Drosophila melanogaster: one gene and its partners. The protein of the gene in region 4 interacts with the protein of the main gene of each other region in a pairwise test. Each region holds a gene or a part of one and is shown on either strand. Other genes may lie near its edges.

Evidence for each region.
Region 1: the proteins of yellow-g (region 4) and pxb interact in a two-hybrid assay, tested with the Drosophila melanogaster proteins (one large-scale study listed by BioGRID).
Region 2: the proteins of yellow-g (region 4) and Pomp interact in a two-hybrid assay, tested with the Drosophila melanogaster proteins (one large-scale study listed by BioGRID).
Region 3: the proteins of yellow-g (region 4) and CG15109 interact in a two-hybrid assay, tested with the Drosophila melanogaster proteins (one large-scale study listed by BioGRID).

Annotation. Positions count from the first base shown.
Region 1 is NT_033777.3:15,663,202-15,671,805, forward strand, and holds the start of pxb (pxb), read left to right. Parts: upstream 1-2,981; 5' UTR 2,982-3,385; intron 3,386-4,776; exon of another isoform or gene 4,777-4,976; intron 4,977-5,031; exon of another isoform or gene 5,032-5,475; intron 5,476-8,563; 5' UTR 8,564-8,604.
Region 2 is NT_033779.5:20,783,455-20,790,824, reverse strand, and holds Pomp (pomp), read right to left. Parts: upstream 3,170-7,370; 5' UTR 3,043-3,169; coding exon 3,040-3,042; intron 2,976-3,039; coding exon 2,710-2,975; intron 2,423-2,709; coding exon 2,287-2,422; 3' UTR 1,727-2,286; downstream 1-1,726. Other genes in the region: vari (varicose), read left to right, coding at 105-203, 273-434, 490-700, 773-1,104, 1,165-1,239, 1,402-1,578.
Region 3 is NT_033778.4:19,055,972-19,063,592, forward strand, and holds CG15109 (uncharacterized protein), read left to right. Parts: upstream 1-3,449; 5' UTR 3,450-3,515; intron 3,516-3,624; 5' UTR 3,625-3,647; coding exon 3,648-3,672; exon of another isoform or gene 3,673-3,763; coding exon 3,764-4,908; 3' UTR 4,909-5,094; downstream 5,095-7,621.
Region 4 is NT_037436.4:2,267,419-2,276,528, reverse strand, and holds yellow-g (yellow-g), read left to right. Parts: upstream 1-3,759; 5' UTR 3,760-3,837; coding exon 3,838-4,278; intron 4,279-5,389; coding exon 5,390-5,586; intron 5,587-6,020; coding exon 6,021-6,564; 3' UTR 6,565-6,648; downstream 6,649-9,110. Other genes in the region: CG32302 (uncharacterized protein), read right to left, coding at 6,748-7,689; obst-I (obstructor-I), read right to left, coding at 8,000-8,659; CG13806 (uncharacterized protein), read right to left, coding at 9,062-9,110.

The DNA of each region.
Region 1 (8,604 bases), on a different chromosome or scaffold from region 4:
GGTTTTGAGCGTTTCGAAATGTTTTTTGGCTGGCTCACTTTTTCCGCACACAGATTTCAAAATTCACGTGCGTGTGTAGGTGTTTTTGTGTTGGGTTTTTGCGAACACATTTTTCTCCTCTTGCCGTTTTTGGACCGTATCACTTTGACAAACATGCAGATTATCCCGGAATTATTAATTATTGTATCTGCAAACAAGCCTCGCCGTCAGCTGTCTTGTCGTGTGTTCATGGGAGAGTATGCCGATATACATACATACATAAAAGAGCATTTTGTATTATGAATTTTTGGCAACCGGCAAACAGGATGGCTAATTGGTAGACCACGTGAGATTTGTTATCCAAATTTTACATAGCAACGTTGAAGAGTTTTAGTGCTTATTGGCATTCAATTAAACTTCAGAAGGCCTATATGGCACGGCTTATAAAAGAATATGTGCATTTTTCAATTAAAATTTATCTTTTTCTAAACATTTCCAATTTAAAGATGAAATACAAAATTTCTGATCCCATGTATATTTATATGTATGTATTTTATAACTTTTGTGTGCTAGCAAATACTTGCGAAACTATTGTACCCACTAGCTACTTTTCAGCACTCGCATTTTCATCCGAAAGATAAATCTAAGCTTAAAAGATTCTTTTGCAAAATGTTTGTTTTGGCTGGAGCTAAAGCTATGTTATATGAATGTTGTATGAACACATTTGATACACTTTTAAGTCGCTATACTTTGGTATCTCTGGGTTTGGCAATTTCTCCAGAGTGCTGGCAGCCTTAAGATACTTTTCAGTTTGCATCTTTTCTGCGGTTTTGCTCGAAAAGTTCTTCGAGTTTTCAGAATGTGCGTGTGGTCGCCATTTCCCAGCAATACCCCGCAGTTTTCCCCCCTCCGTTGGGTCAATCACTTAATGCGCCTTTAATTTGCATGGCCTTTTCTGCTTTTGGCCCCCAAGTTGCAGGGAATGAGCCGCTAATGTGTTTCGGTTTGGTCCCCGGGTAACAGGCAAAGGCAAACATATCACTTGACACGCCTAATGAGTCTGGGAGGGGTGGACTTTCCGGGGGGTTGGGATTTTCCGAGGAGCGAAGCATGGATATTACCGTTAGCGACTTTGACTAAGTTGCGGCCAAAAGCATTTGTCGCTGCTGCTGTCGACAAATAACTATTTATAAAGAATTTCCCTCCGTTCTGTAAACAACTTGTAAGTGCACAGAAACAAAAAGTAGTTATAATATTTTTGATTATATTTGATGATATTTATTGTAAAGAAATAAATAAATAAATTTTAATTTTTGTTACATTTGGTAAATAAAAGATATATATAGAACTATATTAGGCCCTTAGATATATTACATCAAAATTCCTTTAAGTGTAGCCCATTCAAAAGATAGGCTTCCTCATTTTCCACTCTCCACCTAATTTTTTCATCTGCTTTCAGCAACTGGCACAATGGAATTGCATTGAAAACAAACGGTTAAGAATGTTTATAAACAAAACACAGAAGGAATGCGGTGGGTGGATGGTGGAAAAGTGGGCGGGGCTGGGGCCAAAGTGGCGCAGAAGGTGAAAGTATAACGATAAACGTAAACAGTAAGTGGAGGTGCGAAAAAAATGCGTAAACACAAATCGCATTGCAACAAAAAAAGAGTGTGCACCAATCAGCAACATGTTGCTAAGACACCAGCAACTTCTACGGCAATTGAGCGAGAGAGAGAGAGAGTGAGCGCGAGAGAGACCGAGTTCATTTTCGAAGTTCAACTTCGAAAGAGAGTACTTCTTGGGTGATATGAGAAATAACATTGAATTTTCATGCCGGCTGGTGTTGTTGTTATTGCACTTTTACATGCAGCTGAAAAACAGCAACAAAGAAGAAAAAACCAGGAAAATGCTGAAATCGCTGCCTCCCCCTGTTTTCGCCACCACTCCCATCAGACATTGACCTTGATAGTGGTCGTTGTTTTTGTTGCTCTTCTTCACTTGATTGAACGACAAAAAGTTGTTATTTTTGCTTACCGGTAAAAAAAATGGTAATCGATATGATGAAGTATAATTTAGTTTTATTGGGACATTTTCGAATGATACATTTTTAATGGACAGGTGCAGAAATTGATACACTTAGATGAGTAATTTAATGAGCTTATTATTTAAAAAACTAATTGCTAAATCTGTTTTCAAAAATCAGTCATACTTATTATCGCTCGACTGTCTTTAAATCTGCTTTAAGTTTTTATGTGTTTAATAAAAAAAGAAATTAATCCCCAAGCTTAAGCAACATGAGAAATGTTGAGTTACCATTTCAACATTATGTGTTCATATTTTTACAATGGGCTTGGCTTTTCTCAAATATGATTATGATGTTTATCATGTTATTGACTGTCACAATATCACAGCCAAGGAACTACCTATGTTTTCCTGAAACTTTCCATAAATCGTCTTAATGGGCTCGGTAGATAAATAAAACGAGAACAAATAGCAAATACATACAAGTTTTTGGGTGACACTCAAATATAATTGGAATTGATTAGGAATTAAAATAATACTTTTCAACGGTTGCTAAACTACATGATTGTACATCTTTTGGGATATGTACATAAGAGTTCAACGGCATACGATTTTAAATGCAAGGTAAACAAATCGTAAACATTCTTTGGTTGGAAAAGACAGAGCTAGGTGTGCACTTTTAAATAAAAATGTGCCAAGCAATATTTAAAGTAAATTTTTTTATGATTTTATTTGTACTTTCGCCAGCAACATGGACAATTTTCCAGCGCCAGCGAATGTCAACTGCAACGAAAATGTGCGAAAATGCCGATTAGAACGAGCCCGAATGAGTTCATCCTCTCTCTCGGGAAGTTCATTTCCCCGAACTCTCTCTCTGGATTCGGCAGCGGCAACCGATGTCGATGTTGCTGTCGTGTTGTTGCCGCTGCACATGTTGCAGATGTAGCTGCCGTCGTCAGTCGCTCGAAACGAATTTGGAATTCAGTTTTTGACTCGACGTCGCAGGAAACGGACGTGAGTGTCTCGCATGTTGCCACAATAATCGAAAAGAAAACTCTGAACGGAATACGAGACTTTTTTCAAGATATGTGAATCACTAGTGGATTACTGAAAACGAAAATAAATACCAACGAAAATATTTACCACAAATCCCAAGCAAACGATACGCGCGTCGTGCAAACTAATAATAATAAATCAAATACCACAAATATTCTGTGTTGAGTGATACTCGAAAAGTTGTCAAAAATCAAAGCGAAATTCGCAAGCAATACATTGGATTAACAATTGGCTCGAAACCGATTTGATTAGCTAGCAAAAGACAAGCAGAAACAGTTTATCAAACCACTTGACAAATATCCGTTGGACTATAAAAGCAGAAAAGCGGGTAAGTGGGCAGGGAAATGGAAAATGAAAAATCAAACCTGGATATGCCGCTGAGAAATTGAAAACTTTTACGCACCGGATTAGTTGGCGATTTTGGGTTGAGCTTCTGTAGGCGAGTGACAATCTTCTTAGCAAAGATCAACGGAATTTCCCTTTGATTTGGGAATTACAACATTAAAGTATGTTTTAAAGTTGAGTTTTCTAATCTTCAGAGTGCAGTGCTTACTAATTGAAACGAACTGAAAAAAGGCATTCCAGCGGAGTGAGGCCGTAAAAAACGAGATTTATAGGAGGAAGTTGGGGAATTATTCAAATAAGCAAGTGAAGGATTATATCCGATTCCAAACAAAATTCCCCGAAAGTGTGCGTTGTGTCTATCGAACAGATATGTTTATCCATATAAAGTTACGCCCGAGTGATGAGTGATTTTTGTGGAAACAGCAGATAGCTGTGCAGCTATCTGCTATCAAGCCATAAAGCACAGAACTCTTGTGGCGACCCATGCGGCTCCATCAGAATGTAAACAAATCATCTCTGGGTTTCGCTGGAGCTGCGGCTTCTTCCCTTCTTCAAAGCGTAGAAACCGCCAAAGAGACGAGAAAATAAAGAGAAGAAAAGACTGCGAGGGACCTTTAATTATAACCAAATACTAGTTGAGGCGACACCTTTGTTTACCTGCATTTTCGAGCGCTGTGTTTTTCCATTCTGTAAATTTGTTTAAATTATTAGCAAACGCGCAACAAGTGCAGCCAGTCGAAGTTCATTATTTTCCCCAATTCTTTGGCGTGTAAATCCTTTGGTAAATAAGTAAAGTATACCCCGCCTGTCGTCGGCGCAACTCATAAATTCACGCAAAATAAAATTTATGCTTATGGCTGGAGCTGGGGAAGTCGGACAAGAAGATGTACGAAGGATCGCGATAAGATCTGGTCTTAAATGAGTTGTTAAACGGGAATCGTGGTCGCCATGGATATAAATAATAATAACAACTCAATCTGGAGTGGCGTGGGTAGCTCGAAAAGTCCTCGGACAAGTGAACTGTTGCTTGCGGTCACAATGATTCTGGGTACTGGATTTTGAATCGATTTGAATCGTGTGAATGGGAAGCATTCTACCTGTTTGGCAAAATGAATTTTAATTCGGAATTGAGTCGTACACATGTCGGCCCTTTTTCACAGGATTTCCGCTTGCTGTTTAGCCTTTTTTTTCGAATGAAATCCCTCGGCTAATTAGTATGCCAAGCGTGTGCCCCTGAAATTTATAAGCCAACTGACTTTTCTCTGTAGTTGAAACATAAATTTCAGTAAAAGTGTCGTCTGTGCACTAGAGCACAGCAAGAAGTATAGGCCTTTTTATAAACTTGATGTGCCAGTGATGAATATTTGAGTGCAGACGATGACTAAAAATATCTTATTTGCTTTCTGCGGCAAGTCTGCATCAAAGAACTAAGTTCATTGAATAGGCCAACTTATGGCAATTCCTAAGCTACTTACAAGGTAAACTTCGCTCAGACCTCAAACAGAAAGTATCTTATGCAAATAAGTCGCTATATGGCGGACAGAAACAAAACATTCGCGCAGGAATATTAAGCAGTAAGAAATTGTAAACACAAAGGAAAATATTTGTTATACGCTTGTAAATTTATAGCGGCAGCAAAGTCCAGCCAAGCAGAGGAAAGCGTAGGAAAAGCGAAAGCGCACAGAAAAGCCGGGGAAAATTCAGGAGGCTGTTTTTCACGCTCAGCTGCCCGGCGGCCGAAGAGGAACTGGCGAAAAAGGAGGAGGCGAGCCTGAATAACAAAAAAAAAACTTTATCGCAGTGCTCGCAGGACATGAATTTTCCCCTCATCTCCCACCACTTCTCTTTCAGCCTTAATGCTGAGTGACATTGATGTGACATGCCGTCATCTTGCCTCTCCTATTGCCCACCAATCTTTGCTTTATTTAAAAGTTTTTCCTTCCCTCGCATTTTTCTCGCCCAACGCCTCGGGGGCGTGGCAAGTTGTGTTTGGTTAGTAGAGCACTTACACCTTGTGGAAAACAAGGCACCTCGGGACCCTGGCCCTCGCAAATAATAAATGATATGTAAACTAAGTCAAAAGTTGCCGTAGGTTGGGTAAATCACAACTGAGGGGCTAAAATCCGGGCCCAGATCCCAGTAATTTGTGCGTGTGGCCAGGCCCTAAGGCATTTCCATAGATTAAAGATGAAAAACTAGGGAAAAACCGGCTTTAATGTAGTTTAAAATGCGTGCAGAATAAATCAAGGAAAATCAGGACTTATACTACAATCCTGGACAAGCTACTGATAGGACAGCAATTAACATTGAAGTAGTTTAAACATAATTATAGTATCATTCACCAGTTAGACAGTACTTATCTGAATCTCATAAACCCTCCAAGATTTCGCAACCATTATTTCCGAGGATAATTCCAACTGTCTGCCACATTTGTTCCACTTACGAGTCCGACAATCCCCCGCTGTGATATCAATGCCCTAACTATAATGTCTCAATATCCGAGCGACCAAAAGTAGAACGAGTGCGACAGAGGAGAAAAGCGAGATACAAATTCTTACCTGAGCCTGGCTTTCCATGGGCCAGACAACAACGACGCACCCATATCAATTTCCTTCGTGCGACCCAAACGAATTAAAATTACACATAGACTGGCGGTCAAAAAAAAAAACAAAAAAAAGTAGAGAGGGAAAATATACCCAATAGACGGTAGGGATTTCGGAGATCCTTTGCCTTGAATCCGAAGGCCTGTCGCCAATGCCGGAGAACATTTATCATGGCAGCTAATAAATGCGTTTCCCTTACCTGACCGACACGAACCCAATTGCAATTGAGCCATATAGCCTATAGCCACATAGCCATATAGCAACCCCCGATATGAGGCTTGACTTTTGGGCTGTGTCCATCTAATTTTACTTTTTCCATTCTCTCTCTTTTTATTTTAACAATTTCCCAATCAAACAATTCAATTATGAAAGTGTATAAATTTGAGCCAGCTGTTCTTGTACTTGAACCGCAATTGTCTTTGTCAAGTAGTGGAAAGAAGTTCTCCCGGAATAAATCAACTGCGAGTTGAAAGTGCGAGAAAGTGAAAGGAAGACGGGAGAAATTGCATTCATTTTGGGGAAGAAATGGAAAACCCTTTAATTGGTCTTGAAGTGTTTGAGTTATGATCAGAAGGGGCAGGGAACTCGTAATCCCGAGCCGATCCAATTCTATTCGATCTTAGAGACAGCTGTCCTATAAGTATGGCCAGCTTTAAAGCAATTATCCGAGTGGGCCCGGCTTTAAGACAATTATCTAAGTGCTTTTGCCCCTGCCTCTGATTTTGGGTCCATTCATTCTTATCGAAACGAGTTGCCCACGCTAATTGCCCACCGAACTCCTGCACCTGATTCGGTTAGGACTTTGATTTCCATTACGCTTCCTTTTGAGCCTGTCCATAACATTTCCGTTTTACGCTTCAGTTAAGTCCGTTTCTTGGCCGAAAAGGAGGAAGAGTAGAGAGTTGGGATTGGAATAGGGATGGCATGGAATGGGATGGGATACGAGCAGTCGACTTAATCTCAAAACAAATCGATTTCGTTGACTGTCTGTCTTGCGTTTGGGTTTTCTCGGGACTCCCTCTGCTTAACTTGGCTCTTTTTCAACACGATTTATTTCATTATTCTCGGCCGTTGTTTTTTTTTTTTAAGTTTTTGTCTGCTCAAGTTAATCACCCAGACCAGACAATTCAATCGATTTCCAAGAGAGCCCAGCCGTAACTAAAGCTTTAAGTTTTGCTGAGTACATTTTCTTGAAATTCAATCTTGTCTTTGGAGATTTCTTTTCCGTTTTTATTTCGATTTTACTTTTATTTTCGTACGATTTCTTTTGTTATTTATTAGTTTGGTCTGCGCCGGACTTCAATTCAATTCAATTCAATTTTCTTTACAACATTTCATCTTTGACATGTTTTGTGTGTCCGTCGGACTGTCTGTTTGTCATTGTGTTTATATCCAAGAGCTCCTCCTCCGTCGCCGTCCTCCCGTTTCCTGCCGCTTCAGGCCGTTGTCGTCTTCGTTTTTAATATCTTTTAATCTCCAATGTCAACAGCGGCTTACATTTGATTGCAAGACAACACACACAGATACTGTGTGTACACACATATACATTTTTTGTCGAGATCTTATCAGGCTGCAGTGCCTCGAATCGAGACTCTCTTCGCCGTTCCTCTCCAGAGCTGTCAGCTAATTAAACGAAGCCAACTGGCAACATATGTTGGGAATGGGAATAAGATTCAGCCTCAGAACGAGATTCAGAGTCGGCTTCGGATTTGGATTCGGAATTGGAATTGGAATCGGACTCGGGAATCACAATGCCAACCTTGGACTTGGACTACCCCACACAACAGATGGGGAATTCTTGGGCTGTCAGTGCAGCTGAGCTGAGAGACAAGTCCCACAAACAGCAGCCGAATGTTGAATGTTGAAGTTTCGATTCAAACCCCATCCACTCATGTATCTGTATCTACCTACCGCGCCTCATAATATATCGGATTGCCACGCAGGACCATCAATCATCCGTCCTAACTCAATTGAACCCCCGAAACCTTAACGCCGAAAAAGGTTTCACCAAGTCAACCGTTTTTTCTCAATTATTTTGTCAGCATATGTGTGAAGAAAAAACACAACCGCAGCCAAAAAAAAAGGATAATAATAATAGAAGTATTGAAAATAGAAAACACGAAGCACACACGCTGAAAAAACCTGGGGTAAAACAATTGCTAGTGAGTCGACGGAAATCGGAAAATCGGGGTGCAAAGGGATAAATATAGCAAAGCTAGCGAGCAAAGTAAATAAAAATAAATAGCAAAAAATGGAAACGCATTAAGGAAAATCAATAAAAATTAACATTTGGCCACAAAGGGGGTGCTGTTGGAGGTGCCAGGGGGTGGTTGGGTGGACGATTTTGTTCCATTTGATTTTATTTTTCAGTTTGCATTGGCTTACAGTCGTGTTCGCGGGGAAATGGGCAGGATCAGGCCAATTAAAGATAGAAAACCCGGCAATTGTTACGTGCCAGGACATCCATGTGTGAGATAATTAGCACACAAAAGGAGACAAGGCCGCATGCTGAGTACTTTTCAACTAACCAGAGTCCTTTTCTCCCTCTTCCTTTTCAGCTACAAGGCCGCCAATGAAGGCTGTCCAGATGACAGCGATC
Region 2 (7,370 bases), on a different chromosome or scaffold from region 4:
CTCAAATCGCTTGCAACTAAGTAAGTAAATCTTGGCATAGTAAAGCTACTAAAAGTGATAAATGCTTAAATAGTAACAAGGTTTGTGTTCTCATATACCAACAGTGCTACATGCGTGCCCTTTTCACATACAATCCATCCGAAGATTCCTTGCTGCCATGCAGGGATATTGGATTGCCCTTCAAGTCGGGCGACATTTTGCAGGTGAGTTGGTCAGAAAAAAAACAACCCATCTAGTTATCCTGATCAATGTACATCATCCTGGCATTGCAGATCATCAACGTAAAGGATCCCAACTGGTGGCAGGCCAAGAACATTACTGCCGAATCTGACAAAATTGGACTCATACCATCCCAAGAGCTGGAGGAGCGGCGCAAAGCCTTCGTGGCCCCCGAGGCGGACTACGTTCACAAGATTGGCATTTGCGGAACAAGAGTGAGTTTTCATAGTATCGCAATGGGCACCCAGTAAACATTGTGTGTTGCAACAGATCTCGAAGCGAAAGCGCAAGACCATGTACCGATCTGTGGCCAATTGCGAGTTCGACAAGGCGGAGCTGCTGCTCTATGAGGAGGTCACGCGGATGCCGCCGTTCCGCAGGAAAACCCTGGTTCTCATCGGTGTTTCCGGGGTGGGAAGACGTACGCTCAAGAATCGGCTGATCAACAGCGATGTGGACAAGTTCGGAGCGGTCATTCCACGTAAGCACAATTTAAGCTATCATTTTGGATATGAATATTCATAAATGCATTGTATTCGCGGAACCACTTCAGATACCAGTCGCCCCAAGCGCGCCTTGGAGGAGAACGGCAGTAGCTACTGGTTCATGGACCGCGAGGAAATGGAAGAGGCCGTGCGGAACAACGAGTTCCTGGAGTACGGCGAGCACAATGGCAATCTGTACGGCACGCATTTGCAGTCCATCAAGGATGTGATCAACAGTGGGCGCATGTGCATCCTGGATTGTGCACCGAATGCCCTGAAGATCCTGCACAACAGCCAGGAACTGATGCCTTTTGTCATCTTTGTGGCAGCGCCTGGCATGGAGCAGCTCAAGACCATCTATGCGGATCGCAGGGCCACGGGCTCCAACCGGAATTTATCTGTATGTTTCACGTAGCCCCCTAGACTAGGCACTCCTCTAATGCGAGCACATATTCCACAGTTTGATCGCCAGAGTTCCATAAGATTCAGCTCCAGACGCGCCCGTACGCTCGAGTCCCTAGCGTCGTTGTATGAGGTAATGTGCCCTGACCTATCCTTAATTACAGTGTCGTATAAATTGTGCTCAACTCAATCATCCGCTTGGCGCACCTAGGCCACCCTAGTAGCCCTGTTAGATCTCTGCCTGAATACCCAAACATTGCTTAACACATTCGCTTTCTATGACTTTTCCGAACAGGACGACGACCTTGTCGCCACCGTCGAGGAGAGCAGCTTCGTCCAGCGCAAGTATGAGAAATACTTCGACATGGTCATCGTGAACGAGGACTTCGATGAGACGTTCCGCCAGGTGGTGGAAACGCTGGATCAGATGAGCCACGAGGAGCAGTGGGTGCCTGTCAACTGGATCTACTAGAATCCCATGACCCTTTGCAATTGCGCCTTTATGCATATTGAAGAATATATACTATAAAAATCGAATGCCTATCATCACAATTAAAGGGATAATTCCAGTAATTGAAGCTTAAACTCGCAACACAATACAAATTTAGCGAAGAGCATTTAAAACGCTAGCGATTTCAATATTTATTGTTGATTAGACGTGTTTTGCTTGAGGAATGTAATGCGTTTTATTAACTATGTTTATCTCAATTACTGTCATTTTCCTCTTTAAATATAAATCATGTATATATGCAATGTTTGTATAAGTTGAAATGCGCCCTCCGTTTACAATTCAGTTTTCCTTAAGTATAAGCCTAATTTTACGAAACGAATTCGTCCATTTTACCATCTCTTGTTTTATTTTTACAAATAATGAATGATGTCAACGCATATCTCTTCAGTTTATTATTTTAACGAATCTCCTCAGTACAACAACCTTCTGCCAATATTTTCGTGTAGTTTTTAGATTTGTTTGAATAAAATGTGTAAGTTTAACGAACTAGTTAAATGTATTGATGTGGAGTTAAACAAACGAAATACGAATAAATTTGGCTCAAAGAAATGGTGAATTTTGTTTACCTCTAGCTGGTCGCACCAAAATATATTTTATTTGCTGATCTTAAGAGTGTCTTAGAGTTTAAAGGCTGAATGCCAGGCATTTAGCAACTTCATTTGCAGGGACTTATTGGTAAATTCCCAGAGATTTCTCCACCACAGCGTGGGGCTGACGCATATGCTCGCTGTTCTCGGGCAAGTTCATGAAGTCCTCGAAGCCAATGGAATCACAGCGGCCAGTCAGGACATCGTCCATGAAGTTGCTGCAATATAAAGGAAAGAATTAATATAGAAGATAAGTAGTCATTGCTGGGTTTTCGGTAATAATGGTACTATGGGAATCACAGGTATACTTGGTATACACGTATGTATGTATGTACGTATATAGGTATCCATTATTAGGCAAGAAGTTTAGATTTTCTAGATTGTAGGATATCTCAGGTTTCTCCGGGATTCTTATAATGTGGAAACAGAAGATTTCTGAATGCTTCCGCCCTTGCAGAGATTCCTGTCCAGACTGAGAAGCTCCCAGACCGGGCTAGATGCTCACCTGGACGAAAGGAAGGGCAGGCGGCCCACCTGACGTGCGGCGAAGCGCTCCATGCCCATCTTGAGGGGCACGCCGAGGCCCTCGTGGTTGCGCAGCATCTGCATGTTGCGGTTGTACTGGTGCTCGTTGTAGTTCAGCTCCGAGTCGCGCAGCCGGTGGACGTGGGCCAGTTGGTTCAGGCAGTTGGCCTCGGTGGGCATTCCCACACGGCCGGTGGCGTTCAGCACGGACACCTCGGCGGGCTGGACTTTCAGTGATGGCTGATACTGTATTGCGAGGGGTTTTCGTTTCGTTAGCGGCTCTACTAAATGCACTCGGCGAGGTACTTACCATATTCGTAAGCGCTTTTAGAATAAAAATGCGGCGAATTATAATTGTTTCTTGAATGACAAACAAATTCCGTGCGAATTAGAGCTGGTACTTGTGTCGATGCCTACTCGATATCGACGATAATTGACAAGATAATCGAATAGAAAGCAACTTATCGACTAGAATAGAATCCAGTAGTGTAGAAACCAGACTGGCAACTCTTTACATGTGTAGAAATCAGGATGGCAGCTCCAGACAATGCTAACATGGATTCAATCCATTTTGACCCACATAAATTTTAGCTCGGTTTCAAACCATTGCAGGGTACAAAAATGCGGCATGTCCGACAAGTGAATTTCGATTTGAAATTATGAACTCCAAATTTTCCAATCCAATTTGATTATTTAAACAAAATATTTCTATATATATAGCAACAACGCAGCACTATTTGAAATACACTTTAATTGTAATCGTGTTGATGGGTAAAAGTCGGTCTATGCAAATTGGCGTTATTAGCGCACTTAACACTTCGGTCAAGTGACGAACTTGAGTGTTGTGATTAATTACACCCTCGCTGGCCAGCAACGCACATCCGAAATATACAAACGTATCGATCTCGGCCGCAGCTCTAATCAATTCGATCAACAAAAGAACTGAATCCGCTGGCTGGCTGGCCGGGGTTTTGTTTTTCTTTTCACCCACACCTTTTAGCGGCTTTTATGATCTTCTGCTCCACAGAGACGCGATTCATTTGCATCGAGTGACAAACGCGAACGAATGCGAATGCGAGGAGACCAAATCACACGACAGGGCTTAATTAGTGCATGGTCACTAATAAAGATTCGGCCAGTGGATGTTGTGTTAATCAAACTCCCGCACACAATAGCCCAAACTGTCTCCGGCCAACCGATCCGATCCTATCCAATCTGAACTTGAAAATCCAAATGGAAACATCAACCGGATGGATGGATCTTCACCTTCACTTTAGACTAAAAGGTAGTACGTAAATTATGATTTATGCCCATTTACTGAATTTTACAGTGCGAAAAAAGCGAACTACATTCCTGCTTTGTAATTTACAACTTTAATCATTTTAATATTGGTATGGATGAGCATTGCAATACAAAGTCAAATAGTTTATAGCATGTATAGCTATAGTATTGATACAAAAACGTATTAGATAATTTAAAAGATCAGCCCTATTTTTAATGAATGAATTCTATATTAAGAAACTGACAAAATGATAAGTAAATTTAATCAGCAGACAATTCGAGAATTTACAATAAGAATATCGCAACGGGCATATTTATGGCGTCGAGTTGATAAAAATATCGTTAGTTTTTATTACTTTGAGATGCGATTCTTTCGGATGCAACTTATGGTGATTTAATCTATAAGTCTATAAATAAATTAAGTTAGAATAAACACAAATTACTCGCATCGATTTTAGCTTACTAGCATCGTTCCTTTGACTTATTTGTTAATACAATCATTTCAGTTCCCTGTGAATTTTGCCGCTTGAAGAGTTCAAAAGAACTCATACCACGATTGATTTATAACGTTTACTTTCTGTTTTACTGCCTTTGACCAATTAATACACAGTAGACCAGTACGAGGCGAATCAACCAATTCAGTCAGTCCAATATATGGCCATAAGGATGGCCAAGAGCCAACTATGTATGGTCGAATGGAGATGGAGATCTCAGGGCGAGAAGATCGATATGTAAAAGTCAAATAAAAATATAACGTCGAGAATTAACATTTTTTCACAGCAATAAATGCATAAAAGTCGAAGATGTGTATTCAAAAAAGAGAAGAGTCGTGGGTTCAACTAGGGGACTCTTCAGATGAGGGAATTCCTTTTAAAACAGCTTGATTGGGCTGATATTTCTCTTCTATTTTATACGCACTCAGAGAAATTAATGGGTAAAAGCAAGAGATTCCAAAAGATGATCAATAGATGATTTCTTTAAATTGAAGTACAAAATAAAAGGATGTTTCTTCAGCTTTTCAAGAGTTATTTAAAGGCATCCGAGGGCACGATTTCCCTCAGTGCACCAGTACACCCATTTCTGTATGACGTATATGGTATAAAATTTACAATCTTCTGCAGGCCGTCTCCGCTGGATGCTGCCCTCCGTCCGCCATTGTCGTCGCTAATAGAGACATACAACCTCCACTGGGAATTGATCTTGGATCGAATCGAAAGAGCAGGAGGCTTCGTTAACGGCACCAAAAGTTCGAATGTTTCGTTACTTTTCCCGGCTGCCATAAACTTTTATGGCTGCAAGACGCAGCGGAAGACGAGGACAATGGGTCTTGGACCTGGGATCGGGATTCGGCGATCAGAGAACAGGGAGCAGCTGTAAGCAGATGGTCGTCGAGATGATTGGGCATTATGCCGGACCAGGCCCGGGGCTATCCGGTATCTTTCTTTTTTTTTATAACCATAGGGGTCGCTGCCGCTTTGACGAGCCACCTCCTCTGGGTGCCAATTAAGATACGAGGAACTGGGCTGTAGCTGCGGCAGTATAACCGAGCTGGACCCTATTAGCAGCCATATTGCCAGGTACTGAACGAAATGTTGAGTTTAAGAAATCGAAGGATTTTAATGATATAATAATATAATATTAAGTAACATATAATATGAAATTCTTATTCTTGGAACTCTTAAGAAATATACATTGCACATGAGAAAAGAGAAAAAATGTTGGATCTTAACATACTCCCTCAAATATGGAATATAATTGTTTAAGGTTTTTAATACATTATTTAGTTTTCTGTACTCTCTTTTTTCTGTGCATGGGCACAATAAACGAATATCCCGTTCGTGAGTGATCTGAGTAAGATCGCTCCGCACTTTTATGGCTCCCATTCGCTAGGATCCCCCTCCGCCATTGGCTTCTCGTGAATCGAGATACTCTGGGCCATAAATCAAGCGGCTGAGTGAGGAGAGATGGCCAGTTTCGGCGATGCACTTCATCCATTTTTGAAAATGCCAGGACATAAGGACATGCTGTAATCCCAAATTGAAATGGCGGACGCAAGACATAAGCTGTGAATTCGGCGTAATTTTGGCAGCGGCATGTGTAATGCAGTAGCCAGGAAAAATAGAGGGTGTACGAAAACAAAAGGCGTCGGCAAAAGTCAAAAACCATTTCGATACGCCAGGATGACCAAAGGCCAGCGACCAGAATGGAACGGGTTGTGCCGCCGAGTTCCACCAAATCGGGGATATATATATATACATATACATATATACACGCAATGCATATCTCTGCCGATCTCCCGACATGTGCATGTGGCGTAACCGAAACAGAAACAGAAACAAATGCAAACACACACTGCAGTCGTCCGCTCCCAATTTGGTATGTATTTTTTAGCGTGTAGGTGTGAAAACGGAGTCCACTTCCTTTATCGGGGGAATGTGTTTTGGGTTTTTTGCTTTATTTCTGGTGGTTGCCGGTGCCTCCCCGGGAGGGGGTATTTTGCATCTTGGCTGACACACAAGTCCAAATATTTTCAGTGCGAAATGAAAACGAAATAAAACCCTGACTCCGCTGCTGTTTAATCTAAAAACGTTTTCCGATTCGGTCACGGTCCTGTTCGATTGGAAACCCGCTGTATCAAAATCTGGACAGGTCGTATATTTTACCTCGCATCGGCTTGGACATTTCCGATTCTGCTAATCGCAGGTCCTATAAATCAACCCCTTAAGAGCCGCAGCCGGGTACAATCTCTCTAGGCGGTGCCATACTAGACTATAAGTGCTAGTTGTGTACTATACCATATATGTACGATCCGATCGTCTGGCACTTTAGATCGCCATGTTTGTTGTGACGGGCATTCCTTGCATTCCATCTATTGATGTACTATATTCACACGCATGTAGATCGACTGGGATTTCATTTGAATTTTCTGATTTATTGCAGCTGTAAATTGAAGTGTTTTGGCCACTTGTGAATTTATTTCTAGGATATTCTGTTATCAACTAATATTTAAACTGAATCATACAATGGAAGTATATATTCCACTTTTCTAAAAATTACGTGATACACTCCACATATGTACATTCATACAAAGTACTTCTAAAATAATATCTCTGCTCAATTTTCAAAATTTAATTGCAACTGCTCAAAATACTCAGATATAGTACTTTAGATCCTTAATAGATCTACAAAAAAGTTGGATAAGATATTGTATTCTAATATTCAGTTTACATAAGCCACAAGGATTCCTTAGCTCTTTTGAAGAATACATTTTTGACATTTTTCTCGACTTCCTTTAATGCAAAAGGACTTTTAAAGCTCATGACAACTGCCTTGTTGTACGTTGTTTTCGTTGTATTTCGA
Region 3 (7,621 bases), on a different chromosome or scaffold from region 4:
TGAAAATCGATTCGAGAGGCTAATTGTGCGTGAAGCGACTGTTAAAAATCGCATTTAAATGTGCGGCCCTTTCGTTTCGGTGCAGACACACACACACACATACACATGCCCCAAAAAAGTGGCAGCTAAAATTGAATTTGCCCAAAAAGAGCTAAAGTTGCATATGCTGACCCACGAAGCGAGTTGCACGTTAACTTAATGTTAAACTTTTTTTGGCCTCTGCCTGCCACACGAAATGAGAGCACAAAACACACATACACACACACACACACAGATGCACACTGAAAACAACAACAACAAAAAGTTGAACAATCGTAACGAAATAATTGAATTTTCATTTCCGTTTTATGTGTTTACTTCCGCTTCATGGACGCGGCACCATTTTCTCCAGCTTTTCCGTTTGCCCTGTCCATATGTGTGTGTGTGTGTGTGTGTGTGGGCTTGGTGATTTCGGCCTATTTGTATACAAAAGGCAGTCAATTTCTGCCAGCTTGAGGAAACTTTTTAAGTCAATTGTCAAAAAGTTCTTAACATCTTTTCCCCAGCCACGCCCCACTTTTGTGGACTCGGTATGGCTCTGTTTCTGTTTCATTTTCGCTGCCAAAATTGAAATATAATTCGGTAAAGTTGCGCCTCTTTTCGGTTCGGCTTTTCCACTTAGACGACGTTTGGATTTGGGCCATAAATCAATGCCAGGCGAAAGGCGTTCGACTGAAATTGATTTAGAATGCGTGGAATGGGCGTAACTTCTTACGGTCGTCAGTCAAGCTTCTGCACTAAAAACAGTCCGAAATGCCAGTGCATTTTATAGTTTGGCTGCAAATCACTTTTCAAACTCTTTGACACGCAGAAAAATATGTCACACTTTCATAAAGCTAAGAAGGAAAAGGCATGATATATTTTAAAACCTATGTAAACAGAATTATATGGCATTATTAAATGCAAAAACAAGAAGACTATTTACTTTAACGATTTTTTCCCATTAGAAAAATATATCCAACTTAACTCACAGAAGAAAGCACCTTTAATAGATCACAGCTGAAATTGTGATTATCATAAAATCAGCATAGAATGATTGCCAACCGGTTTTATAGCAATAACCAGCGATTATGCTAAAAGACATCTCCGTCAGACTCGAAGTCAAATCCATCGAGCATCCAAGATGATCAACTATAGCGGTTTTGCATATTTGATGCACTTGGCATAAACTTAATAAACTTTGCCCCCAGTTACAGGTTATAAACCCGGCGCACCAAACTCGTAAAGATGGAAGCGCGTTAAAGTCACTGAGCCACAACTCGTTGTTTTATGACCAACTCGATGAACTTGCCGCTCCCCCCGTTTGCCATTTCCATCTGGTTTTGTCTAAGCATCTGCCATCATTCTGGCTTTTGTTGCACCATTTTTCACTATTAACAGTAGCCATAAAAGTAGCGTTTGCGCCAATAAAACTTTTGACATGTGGGGCAGGAGGGTTTCCTTAACGTTTTTTTTTCTTACTTCTAGCCGGGCCAGGTGTTACCTTCAACCTTTGCACCTGAGCTTCTCCAGTTGCGTCTGCTGGTCCTGCATCTCCACTTGTCATTTGCCACTGTGGCCCCAGCTACTTGCTACTTGCCACTTGCGCATTTAATTAAGTTTACGCCGCGCTGCACACGCAAAAGGACGAAGGACGTTATTAATTAAATTCCTTTATACACAGGTTAAGCCAGCCATCCCCTCCACCACCTTTCGCCTTTGTGTGTCAACAATTGGAATATTAACGAGGCAACTAATGAAAGTTTACAAAGCCGGAGTCTTTTCCGCCGAAACAAATCGAAAGGGAAACATTTAATAAAAGTCGCACTCACCGATTTTCCGCCCGAGATCAAAGCAATTGCTAGACCAGTTCCCCTAGCACCACTTGACCCACACGGCGGATGCGTGATTTTCGCTACCAATTATAGTGGATCGTCTTGGGAGCCTTTTTGCAGTGTCTGCGTGCAAATCCCGCCGCGTTGATGCACTGCGGCAAAGGTTTCGGACCCCTAATAAGCCACGACCTTAACGGACTCACACATCAAAGCAAGAGCACGCACACCCACTTACACACTGGCTTATAAGCCCCAGACACGCAGACATATGCAAAAAGGATATGTATTAACTGTACGCATTTAAGCCGCTTGTCGAACGCGCACAAATCCAGAAGGGGAAAATCGACTTTTATTCAATACACTCGAAAAATCAACTTTGGCAGATAAAAAACGAGAAGATGAAAACGAGACAGCAGGATGGACCGGAAAAACGGGGTTTTCGAGGAGTGGGGCTACAATATGCGAGTATAAATGTGCAAATCCCCAATGCAGCAACAGCTGCTGCTCAGCCACGCCCCCTTTCGACCCCCCTCCCCGCCTTCAGTGCACTCGTTTGGCATTTACATTTAAGCTGATAAGGAAAAGTGCCTGCTCCTCGGGGTCCCTTGGTTTACCGCCTCCTGCACCCCAAAATCCACCTGAGCGCCAAGTCGCCTCGAAGGGCGCACACACACACACACACACAAGCACATCGAAGACGGCGATGAGAATTGTTTGTTGAAAATGTCGCCAGTTTATGAAATCGCGTGCGTTGGCAGCAAGGAATTCACATTTGACGCACGCACTTTACATTATTAATGCCTAAAGACGAAGGCGGCAGAAACAAGTTCAAGTTTTAGGCTAAAAAAACGGGAATCGAGAAAGAAATACCCTTTTGAAAGTAACCAAAATTCATTTGATATATAACACAAAAGAAGATATAGTTGTTACATTTTGAACAAATGGGAAATTATAGTTTAAGTCAATAAGTCAATCCATGCAGATTCATAACCTATATTTCATATCTTCGATAATTCTTATATACCTTTTATATCAAAAGTTACATGGAGTAGGTGAGTAGTGCTGTGTGCGTGCTTGTGTGCGTAGAGAAGCATCGATGTTTTGGAAAATGCTCCTGCCATTTCGCAAATGTATCGCATTTCCGTTTGGGTGTTTGCACTTTTACGCTTCGCTGAGAATTTTCCAATTTTTGCTGCTAATATTTATTAATCAAGTAATAGCTACTCACACGCAGGCACACACTACGTGTATGAACACTTGAGCTTGTGCCTGTGTGTGAGTGTGAGGTCGCTTGATTTTTGCACGAAAAATTGATTGGAAATTTATAAGCTAAACTTTTTCCACTGTTTGCTTTTGTTTGCGGCCCACGAAACAAACTTTTTTGGTGTGCGCGGTTGTGTTTTGTTACTTTTTTTTTTGTTTTTGTACCATTGCTGCCATTTGCAGCACTTGAAAAGGTCGCCACAAATGGAAGTGAGTGTGTGTGGAAAATCCCCATCAGAAAAATATTGAAATTCGATTTTTTTTTTCGTACTCTCAGTAACCTTTTACCAGGTCCCCAGCTGTCTGTCAAAGCCTCGCCATGAGGCAGGAAGCATTTCGAATTATTTTCAGTACAAACTTTGTGCCGAGCACACCTAGAACCCACTCCAATCAAATAAAGTAAGTTCAAATTGTAACTATTCTGGTGGAAAAAAATCTACAATAAATATTCAACTCTGAGAATATTTGTGGTCACTTTTCACTTTTTCAACTCAACTGTCTTCCACAGCGCTGCCTATCATGCAATACAAGATGAACTACTTGCTGATCCTTGGGTGTAAGTATACGTTAGTTTTCAGTACCATCTAGCATGCAATTATTTATAATTAATTGCGTGTATTTCAAACGCATCCATTGTTTTGCTTAAGGTGTCCTCATGTTGATGCGGCCGATGTACGGCGATTGTCTGCGCATGAAGCGTTCTCAAGGCGATACTGCAAGTGATTATAATGAAACCACTACAATGGACAATACTGCTTCACTGAGCGGAAAAGCCACCGTGTTGGCCAATAGTACCATTACCACCGCTAACATGACTGAAGCCGCCACATCTCCGGAGCAGAAGATTACTGCTGGACCGGTGCGCAGTATGGGAGTTCGTGGAAAAACCACTAGCTCCACAACCACCACCGCATTATCATCATCACTTGCTGCTGTGGCATCCACATCCTCGCCTCCGGATGCCGGAAAATTTCAGCTAGTGGAGGATCTGCTGGGACTGCGCCGTCCCAAGAGGCGTTTGGGTAGCCTGATGGACGACAGTCTGCAGCCACGACAATTGCACCACAAGCGTCGCCCAGCGGTGGAAGCTGCTGCTATGGCCACCTCATTGCCACCCAACCCTAATCCCAATCTTAATCCCAATCCCAATCCCAATTCCAATCCCTACGTGTACTACAACAAGCTGGTTTCGCCAGATGGCAAGCACGAGATAAAGGAGTTCGAGCTGCTGGCGCCCAACATGATGATTGAGAGTGTGCAGCAGGAGCTGAACTACGGTCCGGAAGTTCTGCCACCGGAATTGGCCGGAGTGCTACTGCTGAATGCAGCCGAGAACACTCCACGCGGACTTCATAATGCAGCACCACTGAAGCACCATCGCAAGCATAAATCCTCGCCGGCTGTGCCACCGATGCTCTACATGCTGCAACAGCTGTTGCAGCCCAATTTCGAGGGAAATCTCTTGCTGGAACCACCAAAGGAGCCACAGCGTCACGTTAGTTCACCCCTCTATCAATTCCTTGATGGCGCCATGGATCTGGCTTTGCGCAACAATCCCGATGTCATCGATCACCTGCTGGGCGATCACCTAGAATTGGAGCTGGAGATGGAAAAAAAGAAGGGCATCAAGGATAAGGCACTAACGAAGAAGGCCAAGAAGGAGGCACAGAAGATGGAACCCAAGGAGGAGCTCATCGTCAGCTGTCCCATTCACCATGAGCACCATGCCAATCGTAATGGCGACGTGGTCGAAGATGATGTCGTTTTGGTGAACGAGTGCCATCTAGTGTGAACCTGAAACGGGCAGCTGTCACAATGTTTCTTAAAAATTTTAGGTTACTTGTTTTTCCGCATTCTTTTTTTTATTTTTTGTTGCTTCAACTGGAAGATGTTTATATTTCTTGCATATGTAAGGAGTGGCGAGACCATTTTTACTTTGTATACAAAAAACAGACAATAAAAACTAAATACACATCATAATAACTATGTTCAGCGGAAGAATATAAAAAATCAAGCTCGAAAGTTGCAATATAATCCTTCGGGAATGCCATCATCGAGCAGAATGGCCATTGTTCCGCCCGTAACAAATATCAAACTTACGCTCCAATCGACACCCGATCCCCTGGGTGGCCTTCTCCTTGAAGTTCTCCTTCGTTTTCATTAACAAAATCGATTTCCTACCTTGAAATGTCCTGAGGGGAGAGGTGGATGAGCGGGAAAATTGATATGCCGAGTGCGACAGTGCAGCCAAACGAGCAAACAAATCTAACATACAAACCCTTGACTGCGGATGAGAATATATCCTCCATTTATAGCAATACATGTGTGTGTGTGTATGGGTGTAGGGGTGGGACATAGCGAACGGAGCCGAAAGGCAAAAGTTTTGCCGGCTGCCACTGCTAAATGCTGCTAATTTCGTATACAATAAAACTAATGTAAATTGCCACTTGACGTTCACTGGGCGTGTAAGTGTGTGCCATAGTATGTGCAAGTGTACTGGCTGCACATACATAGACATTAAATGGGGCACATAATGTGCCGGGAGTCAGGAATCGAGAATCAGAATTCAGGCTTCAGGACTGGGAACACCAGGGAAAGGCAAGCCATTGAAATAGCGAGTGTCATGGGTGCCTGGCCATCAGCATAAATACAAATTTGCTTCACAAATCCACGTATATAATCTATATAAACTGCACTAGATGCCAGCAGTACATCTACATGTGCCAAGCGGAAAAGTGCAACGCAGCATTCGTAAAATTGCGTAGCTCCTTCGACTTCAAGATACATTTGGAAAAATAGAAAGAATGGAATAAGATTGCACAATAATTATATTTGGAGAGTGGTATAAAGATTTAATTATTTAATTAAATATTTATAGTGTTTCATACGTTAACAGACATAAAAATATAATAATTAAAGGACGTACTTGCTTATTTCTAGGAATTTAACATTTATATAATAATTTCTAGTACACTCAAAAAATATCTTATATTTGTTATAGATATAAAAGTAAGGCAAACATTATTTCTCTCTCTGTGGTGGCACTGCCAATGTCCCTGGGGTGTTAACTGGAGTGTAAATGCGAATGTATGTGCAATTCCCGCTGCTAAGTGACCAGGCCCCCTCCAACATAGACCCTCGCACACATATATATTTATTTACAAGTGTAAATAATAAATGCTTGCATCAGCCATTCCGCATTCCACTCAACTCCAAGGTCCTGTCAGCACTGCAAGTGCATTAACTTTTGCCACACTTTCGTCACCAATGCCATTTTCGCTTTAAGTTGACATCTGCGTAAATAGCTTTAAGTTGCGTACAATACAAATATAAATATAAATATAAATATAAATTTCGAGAAAGGCAGGCGGCGACCACTTTCGCTAATCTCTTTGCTTTTGAAATTTATGGCTTCATTATGAGGATGACAAAGACGAGCGTTGCCAGGACATTGCCAGGACTCTTCTGTCAGTCACTCGCTCTGTCTGGCTGTCGGTCTTTCGGTGCCTTTGTTGTTAATGTTATGGTTGTCATTTGGAAGCTTGTAATTACGTTAGCCACAAGTTGTTGCCAAAAGTTGTAATCTAGATTTCATAGTCAAAAGGCGACAGGCAACAACATAAAATTCAATTGAACTGTTGAGTCAGCAAATATCAAATGAATGGCAATGGTGCCTTTAAAATGCCGTTAAAGTCATGGCCCAAGTATCAGGAATCTGCTCAGTAATATATATAAACATTTTTTGGACAACTAAGGGAAAACTTTTCGCAAATAACCAGCAAATAAATTGCTGAATATAAATTGCAAAATCAGTTTTGCTGCTTTTAAGCTCACTCTGGCATTATCAATTTTAAACGAAAAGTGTTTTACTTAACTGGTTTGGCGTTTTTAAAGTGGTTTAATGGTAATTCGATAACCATAATTTGTATGCTAATAAATACAGCAATTGCTGTTAGGTAAAATCAGTTTGGTAATACTTAAATTTGAATGCAAGTGAAATACATTTAAAATTGTTTTTATTGAAATTAAGTATGTTAAATTGGTGTACAGATTGTTGTTTGTGTAAATTGATTTTTTAAATCAATTTTAACATCTTTTAAATATGGTTAGTGTTGCTTAGTTACGCAGTAGTTTTTGTTGTTTTATATATTTCTGAAGAACCTATTATTAACGTAAATATGTGTGTTGTAGGTAGTGTTATTTTTCAAACACCCTGCAATTGTGTACACATTGTTAATATACATTACCTCACTCAATTCATTAAAAATAAATTAATCAACTTATTAACCACTTGGCTTTACGTTAAAGTCAAACGTTGAACTTTGCAGTGCGGCTCAAAAAGGCGGTTATTTTATTTTCGCCCTATTGCCTTTTGCGGCTATCATACATGGCGTATGCGACATGTGACAACAGAATTATGCAAATTTCAGTGTCACCTTCAATTGCATACCAACCGCACGCACACCGCAAAAAAAAAACACATGGACGAAAGGATACAAAGCCAA
Region 4 (9,110 bases):
GCTTATATAACCCAACAGCCCATAGAATTTGACCACAAGACGGCAACGTGCCTCGCACCCAATTCTTAGCTTTTAAACTGATTTTTTGCGAACTTTATGACCTTGGCAAGAGTTAACCAGTAAACGATGGTAAAAACTAATGACATTTATGACTGAAATTAAATCATTAACTTGTGCTATTAATATGAACTTGTATACATTAATTGAATAGTTTCAATTCCATTACATAACTAAAAGCCAGCCATTCCCAGGACAGAAGCCAGGGAAGTTTTCGAATGGAGCCAAAGGACCAAGGCGAAGGACACATTCCTCCCGCAATTATCCAATCGACCATAAAAATGGCATTGCAATTATTGCAGTCAATTGAAAACGGAACCCCAACAAGTGTCTCCAGATTGGTGGCGATATTTTTAGCTAATTAATTGCGGGCAACAAAATGACCTCAATCTGAGATTTTGCCAGCCATAAGTTGGCCCATAAAGAGTGATTGAAGGAGTGAAAGAAAAATCTCAGCATCCCCGGGATTTCCCTGCAGAATTCCTGGGCCATTTCGCCATTTCCATCACCATAATTGCCCCTAAATAGGTTAAGGCCCTCGATACGGGCAGACAACCCGGAATCGCCCCAAACCAAAACCAACGTGTTTGGCATGTTAAATTGTCAGCCGAAACCCGCATTCCGGTTGGCTTTTTCCCCACCCACCAGAATGATTTATACGAGACAAGCGCACATATATACATATACATACATAGATGGAGCGCAAAAAATTGATGACAAGCATTTCCGGGCTGCTCATCTGACATAATTTATGTAAACACTTACCTCCCAGCAACAAAAAAGTTTTGGGGGGTAGATAAGAGACTGCCGGACGACTGCCGACTGACCCCCATTAGCTGGGGAAACTCCACTCACTGCTCGGCAAAACCATGGCCAGACATTCCGCAGGACGTTCTCCACACATTACATTGACAGTTCTTGTTTATGGCCCGTTAACGGGGCGTATGCGTCATCTGCAAAGTCGGGGGATTATGTGCGACTTCTTTAAAACGCGCTGCGCAACAAAGCAAAGTTCAACTTTTTATATGTGTGCCAATAAAAATCCAATTGAAAACGCAAATAAGCCAATAATTTGTCGTTCTTTTTTTTTGTCCCGCAGCAGCGGAAAAATGTACAAAAAAAAAATTGTCTGTGGTCACGTTTGATTTGTTTTGGTAAATGGGCCAAATGAGGTTTATGCTTTTTTAACTTTGTGCTGAGGAAAGCGATTTTCTTTACCGGGAATTTCACATAAATTCAGACCAACCTTTTCTGGAAATGCTGAACTCCAGGGTGGATTAATAACGTCATTTAAAATAGTATTTTTATGATAGTTATAGTTAACTAGCTATAGGTAATATATAGGTAATTTGATTTAAATTGGTTATCACAGAAAGTTTTCAGGGGCTTACAGTTGTAGTACAGGGTATTAAAAAGTCATCAGCTGCGCTTAAAGTTAATCTTCCCATAATTTTTTGGCCGCTCGCCTAATTTATGTGCTTTGCTTTCACTTTGCTGGCTTTCTTTCGTCGGCCAAGTTTTGTTTACGTCTGCTTAAAGTTGTCCACATTGGCTCTCAACCTTTTGCAATCGCCATAAATTATTGCCTTTATCCAGTGGCCCATCTTGGTTTAATTGTTTTGCAATAATTGAATTCATTGAATTCATCCGACAAATTGCTCTTGGCAACCCGCTGCTACTGTGTGTGCATATGAAACATTCACTTTTTGCACCCAATGTGCTATCAATGAGTTTACATTTGCCATTTAAACGCATCTGTCGATATCAAGGAGAAAATATTTCCAAATGAGTGCGGACAGTTCCCACAAATACACAAATACACTATCCATGGAATATGTTGCCAAATTTGTTGAGTTTCAATACACAATTTTATTGTGAATGGTCGATTTTGATATCTTAATCATTTAAAGTCTAGAGATGAATAAATGATTGCTGATTTCAAGCTTTGCCATAATCGTATCTGTAAGCTGTTTTTGCAGAGTAAAAGAGTCTTAGCATCGTCAAATTTCCATTTGCATACTTTGCTTTTATTTATGTTGGAGCACATAAATATTTATCCACAGATTCGGCCCGACTGACAATCCCGCCCACATATCACAGCACTTATCACATCCGCCTGCTTTTGGGCATGTGTGTGCCATAAATCGGGGGATTACGATCGTGGGAAGGGGGGTTTGGACCCATGGCAGTTTATTGAATCGGAATTCACAAAAATTCAATCTGCATGTAATTTGGCATTATAGACAGACCCTTCCCATTCCGCCATGCGGAAGGAGCAGCCAGTCTGACCCCCGATGAATGGGTTATCAAAATGTTGACCCGCCGATGGTCATTTGATGATGGGCAGCTGTAAGGAGATTAAACATTTTGTGATTTAATGTAAGCCCAGTGCTGTCCATAATTCGCTGCACGAGCTGTCCCAAACAAAAGACTCTTCAGCTGGACACCGACTCCTCCACCGCTTGCCCGAATGTGTCAAAGATTTTTTATTCGCCGCTTGGCGATATGTGGGTTTCTACGAGTTAACGGGGTCATCGACCACGTCGGGCGGATACACCTCTAATCCCCCCGCAATCAACGTGCAAAAAAGTCCACCAAAGTCCACAAAGAGACTTGAGCAGCCAACAAAAAAAAATATGGCAAAAAATGTAGTTCCAGGGGGCACCCGGATTTGAACCGGGGACCTCTCGATCTGCAGTCGAATGCTCTACCCCTGAGCTATACCCCCGACTTGAAAATGGCGAACTCAGAGCGCCTTTTAAAGTTCCCTGATGCGATAAAATTTCGCCTTTGCATTTATCTTAAAATAGAAATGAAATCAATTTGGAACAGAGTGACTGTTCCGCGAAACTGTGGGTGTGATTCACACGACGAATCTCCGGCAACTTGCAATCTTATCTGCGAGTAATGTGCCCCACCAACTCCCCGAACTTTCTCCTTTCGCCCGCCCCCTCCCCCAAAAGCAAACTGATAGCTAGCTGCAGACGGACGGACTGACAGATGTTTTTGTCATCCGAAAATAGCTGGTAACTCGAGCCAAGAAACTGAAACTTTCTCGGTCGCAGATATGCAGGTCACAGACGTCAGCATTGATATTGAACTTTTGGGCCACTTTGGCAAGTGTTTCGCAGCGACCTCTGAACTTTGCCTGCCAAGGGGTGAAACTTGCTACTCTGTCGGATGCACAAGAGCGATCGATGAGTGACAGAAGCTATTTCGCAACTTGAACCCATTTTATTGAACGGACTTGAGTGACTAATTAGCTGCCTATAAATGGCTATAATAGCACAAAGTTATACTCAGAAAATAAGAGCAATAAAAGGAGTAGAAGTGATTAATTAGACAGGCATAGATTGCCATAATAGAACAAACTGTTATCAAGACAATTAAAGTAAAAACCAGGGGAGTTAAATTTGATTTGGATGGCTTAGGAAGAATCGTGTAATCTAGATAGAGGGAAGGGGTTAAGTTTGCATTTCATTTCCGCATCGCTTTCCGCATTGCTTAGAAACCGAGCGGGCTTAGAGGTCTGGCCGACTTCCGGCGTGGGCCAGACGTGCTGGCTGGGTGGTAGCCACTCCAGACAGACACTTGTTCCCCCCCGTGTCAAGCAACCAACGACCTTGCCGCAACACGCTCCACATGCTGGCTGCATAAGTCGTTGGGTATTATATATAAATGCAGGTCTACCATCGCTCAGACAGTTTTATGTTCTGGCCAACGTGGTGAATCGAGTGCAGAAGCTCTGTTTGTGGAAAGCGCAGAAAGAAACGCCGAAAAATGTCGCAGCTGCAACTGCTGCTCCTCGTCGCTTCGGCCTCCGTGGTCCTCGCGGGATACAGCTCCTCCACCGACGAGTCGACGGACGCCTCCAACTCCATTGGCGGCACCAAGTGCGACAAGAACCCGCTGAACGAACTGACCTTCCAGCTCAGCGGCAGCAGCCTCCACTGGCCCTGCGAGTCCACCAAGAACATCTACGTCCAGTCCGGCCGCTATGTGCCCCGTAACGTGATCGTGACCCGGGCCCAACTGCAGCGGGACTCCGCCTTCGTGGCGCTGCCCAGGTACAAGCAGGGCGTGCCCTTCACTCTCGGCAAGGTCAATCTAAAGAAGGGCGAGTGCCTGACCAAGATCGCACCCTATCCCTGCTGGGCCATTCAGGAGGAGGGCAACTGCCAGGCGCTGCAGTCCGTCGTGGACATAGCCGTCGATCAGAATGTGAGTGCAATTAACGCCAGTATTGTTTGGACCATTTTTTTTTTGGGGGTCAGACAAGTTGTCTCGTCCAAACTGCCAGTTCTGCCTTTAATTACGGACTGCTCGTTGTTGGCCACCATGGAGGCATAGCACTTTAACCCACACCAAATGTTTAATTCATATTTGTATCGTGGGTGGATTACAGGGTAGCATTGAAATGCTCTTAGGGCTATTCACTTTTTTTTTCTAAAAATGATTTAGTTTATCTTCTGATATTGATATTGATGTGCAGTCGCAGTGTTAAATATTTGCTAGCCCTTACAAAGTCGATCAAAATCGGGAGTTTAGCTCCAGGGTATCGTTTTCGCATTAACCCCTTGCCGGACGCACTTTTTTAATTGGTTAGCCTCGCTGTCGACCAAATATTACTTTTTTAATCAAATAAACGGGGCCACAAAAGTGAAGAGCTCCAAATAAAATTCATGCCCGTCAATTGGCGGCAGCAATTTAAGGGTAGAATAAACGGATACGGAAACGCCGAAAAAGCTGTGGGGTAAATGGAATATTATAAAGGACAAGGACTGCAGCTGAAAAGTGACAAGCAAATGCAGTGAAAAGTTCTCGAAAATAATTTTGGAAATGCTGGGAACAGGCCATCCAGCCGTGTTTTGTGCATTTCGATTGCACTTCAGAAGTTCTCAGCTTTAATTTTAAATGACAGATGCATTCGCAGATATTACAATGATGCTATTAAATATTTACATGACCTACTTACGATTGCGAGCATAAGCTGCAACTTAATAATTTCCTTCAATTATTGTTGGCGTCGAATCGTTCTCATTTAAATGCCATTCCCGTTTAGCTGCATTTATGCAAATCATTTCTTTATTTTATTTACACAAAAGTCGACGAAACAATAACAAACGGCAAACAAACGAGGCGACTGTATTTATTTATTTGCGCAATTTTCCATTCAGTGCTTTTCGCTGATACTCATTTTATGGCCACATATTTGCGAATGTGGAATTTTTAACGCCGCCAACATTTCAATTAGCCGCCAAATGAAAACATTAACAACAATCAACACGAGCTGCAATTGATAGCAATTAATAATTGCCTTCTCCGTTCGCAGGGACTTCTGTGGGCCTTGGACGTGGGCATTGTCAACACCCTGGAGCAGCCCATCCGCAGATGCAGTCCCAAGATCGTGGCCATAAACACGGCCAACCACAAGGTGGTCAAGAGCATCGACCTCAGCGACCTGGTCACCTCCGAGAGTCGGCTGCAGTTCATCGTGGTCGACTACTCCAAGGACAACAAGCCATTCGTGTGAGTTCCATTGCCTATACTCTTTTATTACCCTTAACTTCATCTGTGAAATGAGTTGTACTTAATCACTTTTTGAAATACATCAACTATGAAATTAATACCACACATTACATTATTATTAACCATTATTACTAACCATTATTTATCAGCACAATGATATTCAGAGATTCATATTGCAGTCATAAAATATTCGTTGAAATCATCGAACTGAATCAAGAGTTTGGAGTACTTTTACCACACACTTTCAATCATGCTTTCAATCAGCGATCATTGAGCCAATCAAAAGGGCATTAGCCACTTTGAGGCTCATATCTTATCTGCTCAAGGTAGTTCTCAGAAGTGTGGCTCATCATATACCAAATAAAATCGATTTGTATTGCATACATGATATCTAATCTCATTCCACATTATATTTCCTTCACTTTCAACCATAGCTATGTGGCCGATGCTGGAGCACGTAGTATCCTGGTATACGACATCACCGGCAACAAGTCCTACCGCATCGTCCTGCCGAAGGCCACCGCCCCCACCAGCGATGTGCTGTACGTGGCGCTCACCTCGAAGCCGGACGGCACCTCCACCCTGTTCTTCAGCTACCTGAGCTCCCCCCGTCTGTACTCCATCAAGGGCGAGTACCTGCGCGTTGGCCAGGGAGCGGGCTCCATCATCGACGTGGGCCCCAAGCCCTATGGCAAACAGGCGGTGCTGCTGGGCGCCGACGGCGGCACCTCGCTCTTCTTCCGCTACAAGGGCGAGAACGACATTTACCTGTGGGACTCGGAGACCTGCTTCAAGGCCGCCAATCTGCAGGAGGTGCAGCGGGGAGGCGACTGCCGGCTGTCCACCCAAGTGCTCCCGGGTCACAAGCGATTCATGTGGGCGCTGGAGAGCAACTTCCACGATTTCATCTCGGATCGCACGGGCTGCAACGGAGCCTCGATCGTCCTGCATCCTGTGGTGCGGGAATGTGACGATTGAGTCCGTATCCCTCCACTTTCTTAGGCTTAAGATTCAAACTGATTTGTTGTCGTTACTGGGTCTCATTAAAATTTTGGTGAATATTTATAGTTATTTGTAGTTTATCTTAAAATGTTCAGAATGATTTCAATTTTTTAAATAGGCATTTACTTGAATCAATATTGGTACCATGAAAACAATTCATTACTCTGACTCTGATTGGCACTTTCGAGTCTCAGCATTGAAATACTGTCCCATTGGACAGCTGTAGATCTGCAGCTGGTGATCGATGCATATGCAGTACTCATCCTTGGTGGAGACATTGGGACAGCTGAGGATCTCAAAGTCCGAGCACTGATAGATCCTATCAGTCACGCAGGTCAGGATCTTAGGATCAATTTGGAAGCCGGCGGGACAGGTCATCACCTCCAGTTCTCCATCGACGCACTTGCAGTACTCGATCTCAGAGGTTCGGAAGGGGCATTGGTACCTATCGTTGTTCATGCACGTGTGGGACTCCATCGCCTGAATGCTCCTCATGCTCCTGGTGTCGGGCACACAGCTGTAGCTGTTGAAAACGAATCCCTCGTGGCACTTCATCATCAGCGGATACAGCGAATTGGCCGTGTCATTGACGCAGACGTAGAAGTACCGATTGTCGGGCGCCCATCCACCCACTTGTCCCGACCGACTGCAGGTGAACTGCTCCTGGATGCACTGCTCACTCTCCCGTGGCAGAACACAAGTGCCCGTGAGTGTGGAGTAGCCCGCTCCGTTGGAGCAGATGCGAGGGGTGTCCACACTCTGATCGCTGCACTCGTGGTACCGCCTACAGTCGTACGGATCCGGGAACAGGCCCGCCTGCTGACAGCTGAAGGGACCTCTCTTGGGCACCTGGCACTGCGACTGGAAGGTGCATCCGAAGGTACCCTCGTCGCTGCAATAGAAATTGTACTCCGATTGGCAGCCCAGCATCGAAATCGTTTCCCAGCTGCCGGTGGCATCGCGGATGCAGTAGCCCAAGGTGGTGCAGTTCATGCAAACGAAGCCGGGAATGCGCACATCCTGGCAGGGATTATCATTAGCCCACGCCGATCCCAACGCCAGAGCGAGCAGGATTAGACAAACCGGTACTGAAGACCTCATCTTGAAGACTGTTGGCTGGGTCATCTGCGGGACTAGCTTTTATAGCACCACCTAATCAGCCAGGCAAGTGTCTTTTTCTTAATTAAACAGATAAGCTTCTCTAGGTATTATCGATTTGATAAAGAACCAAAATTTTACGACGTAATAATAAATTTAGAAAACTTACTAAGCGTAGCTAAAATTGTAATTATTCGAAGAGTATCATCGAAACTGCGAACTGATAAATCCGGAATTCATTGAAAATAGTTTAATCAGTTTTAATCAGTTTTATTCCAAGATAGGCTAGCTACAATAACTATAATATGTTGGGTCAACAAGTTCCAGTAACGCACGCAAAGGAAATTAGATTGAAGATGGTTCCTACCGAGCATCTGAAATACTCAATATCACTGCCCTTTTCGCGACAATGATAGTACCCAGAGCAGTCAGCGGGATCACCAAACAATCCAAGCCGCTGGCACTTTCCAGACGAACTGGGCAACTCGTCGTCATCAGATCCTGTGTTCAGGCAAATCTGCAGCTCGTCATCAAAGGTAAAGCCCGTTGGACAGTAGTTAAGATGCCATTTGCCATCGATGCAGAGGCAGAAGACATCGCTTGCCGTGCTGTTAGGACATGGGGATGGAGTATAATCGTCCTGGCACTCAACGCTTCCCACCCGGCAGACCAATCGGTTGGCATCGAAGTAGGTTCCTTCAGGGCATTTCCAGATCTGAAGGTGCTTATCTTTGCACACGCAAAACTCGTCCATTTCTGTGGCCATCGGACATTTGCCGATTTGGTGATTGGTACAGCTGGTAGTGTCTGTAGATACGCAGGCTTGGATAGTTTCGTTAAAGTAGTAATCATCTGGACAGGATTCAGCAGCTGCATCCAATCTGAGCTCCAGATAACTGCCGTTCCCCAACCCTTTTCCCGTTTGAAACAACAGAAAAGTTAGGAGGCAGATAATCAGGCGAGATGAATCCATGTTGCAAACTTTCTAAGTAGACCTCTTCACACTCCGCCTTATATAGTACCTCACAACCAAACGCAGAATGTTTCGGTATAATTAATAGATAAACTGCAATGTTGTCACGAAAAAAACATTCTATGGAACATTTATGACCTAGTCACAGCACTCTTAGCAAGAAAGAACCAAGACAGTACTAGTCCATTTCTATTGCACTTTTATTGGAAAAAAACAAAGAACTCATTCTGGTTTAATTACCCACGGACATGGTGGTTGAATCTTTATTATCAAACTGATACCTTTTGAAATGGGAATTCATAAATTCATGTCAAATAGATTGTTATTCCAGGGTAAACATGAGTTGTTTATTAAATGTAATCCATTGAAGAGGAATAAATAAAGTGCAGGAATGCATCTTCCTCAGCAGCTTCCCAGGACGCAGGAGGATAGCTCCGGTCGGTAGTAAGTC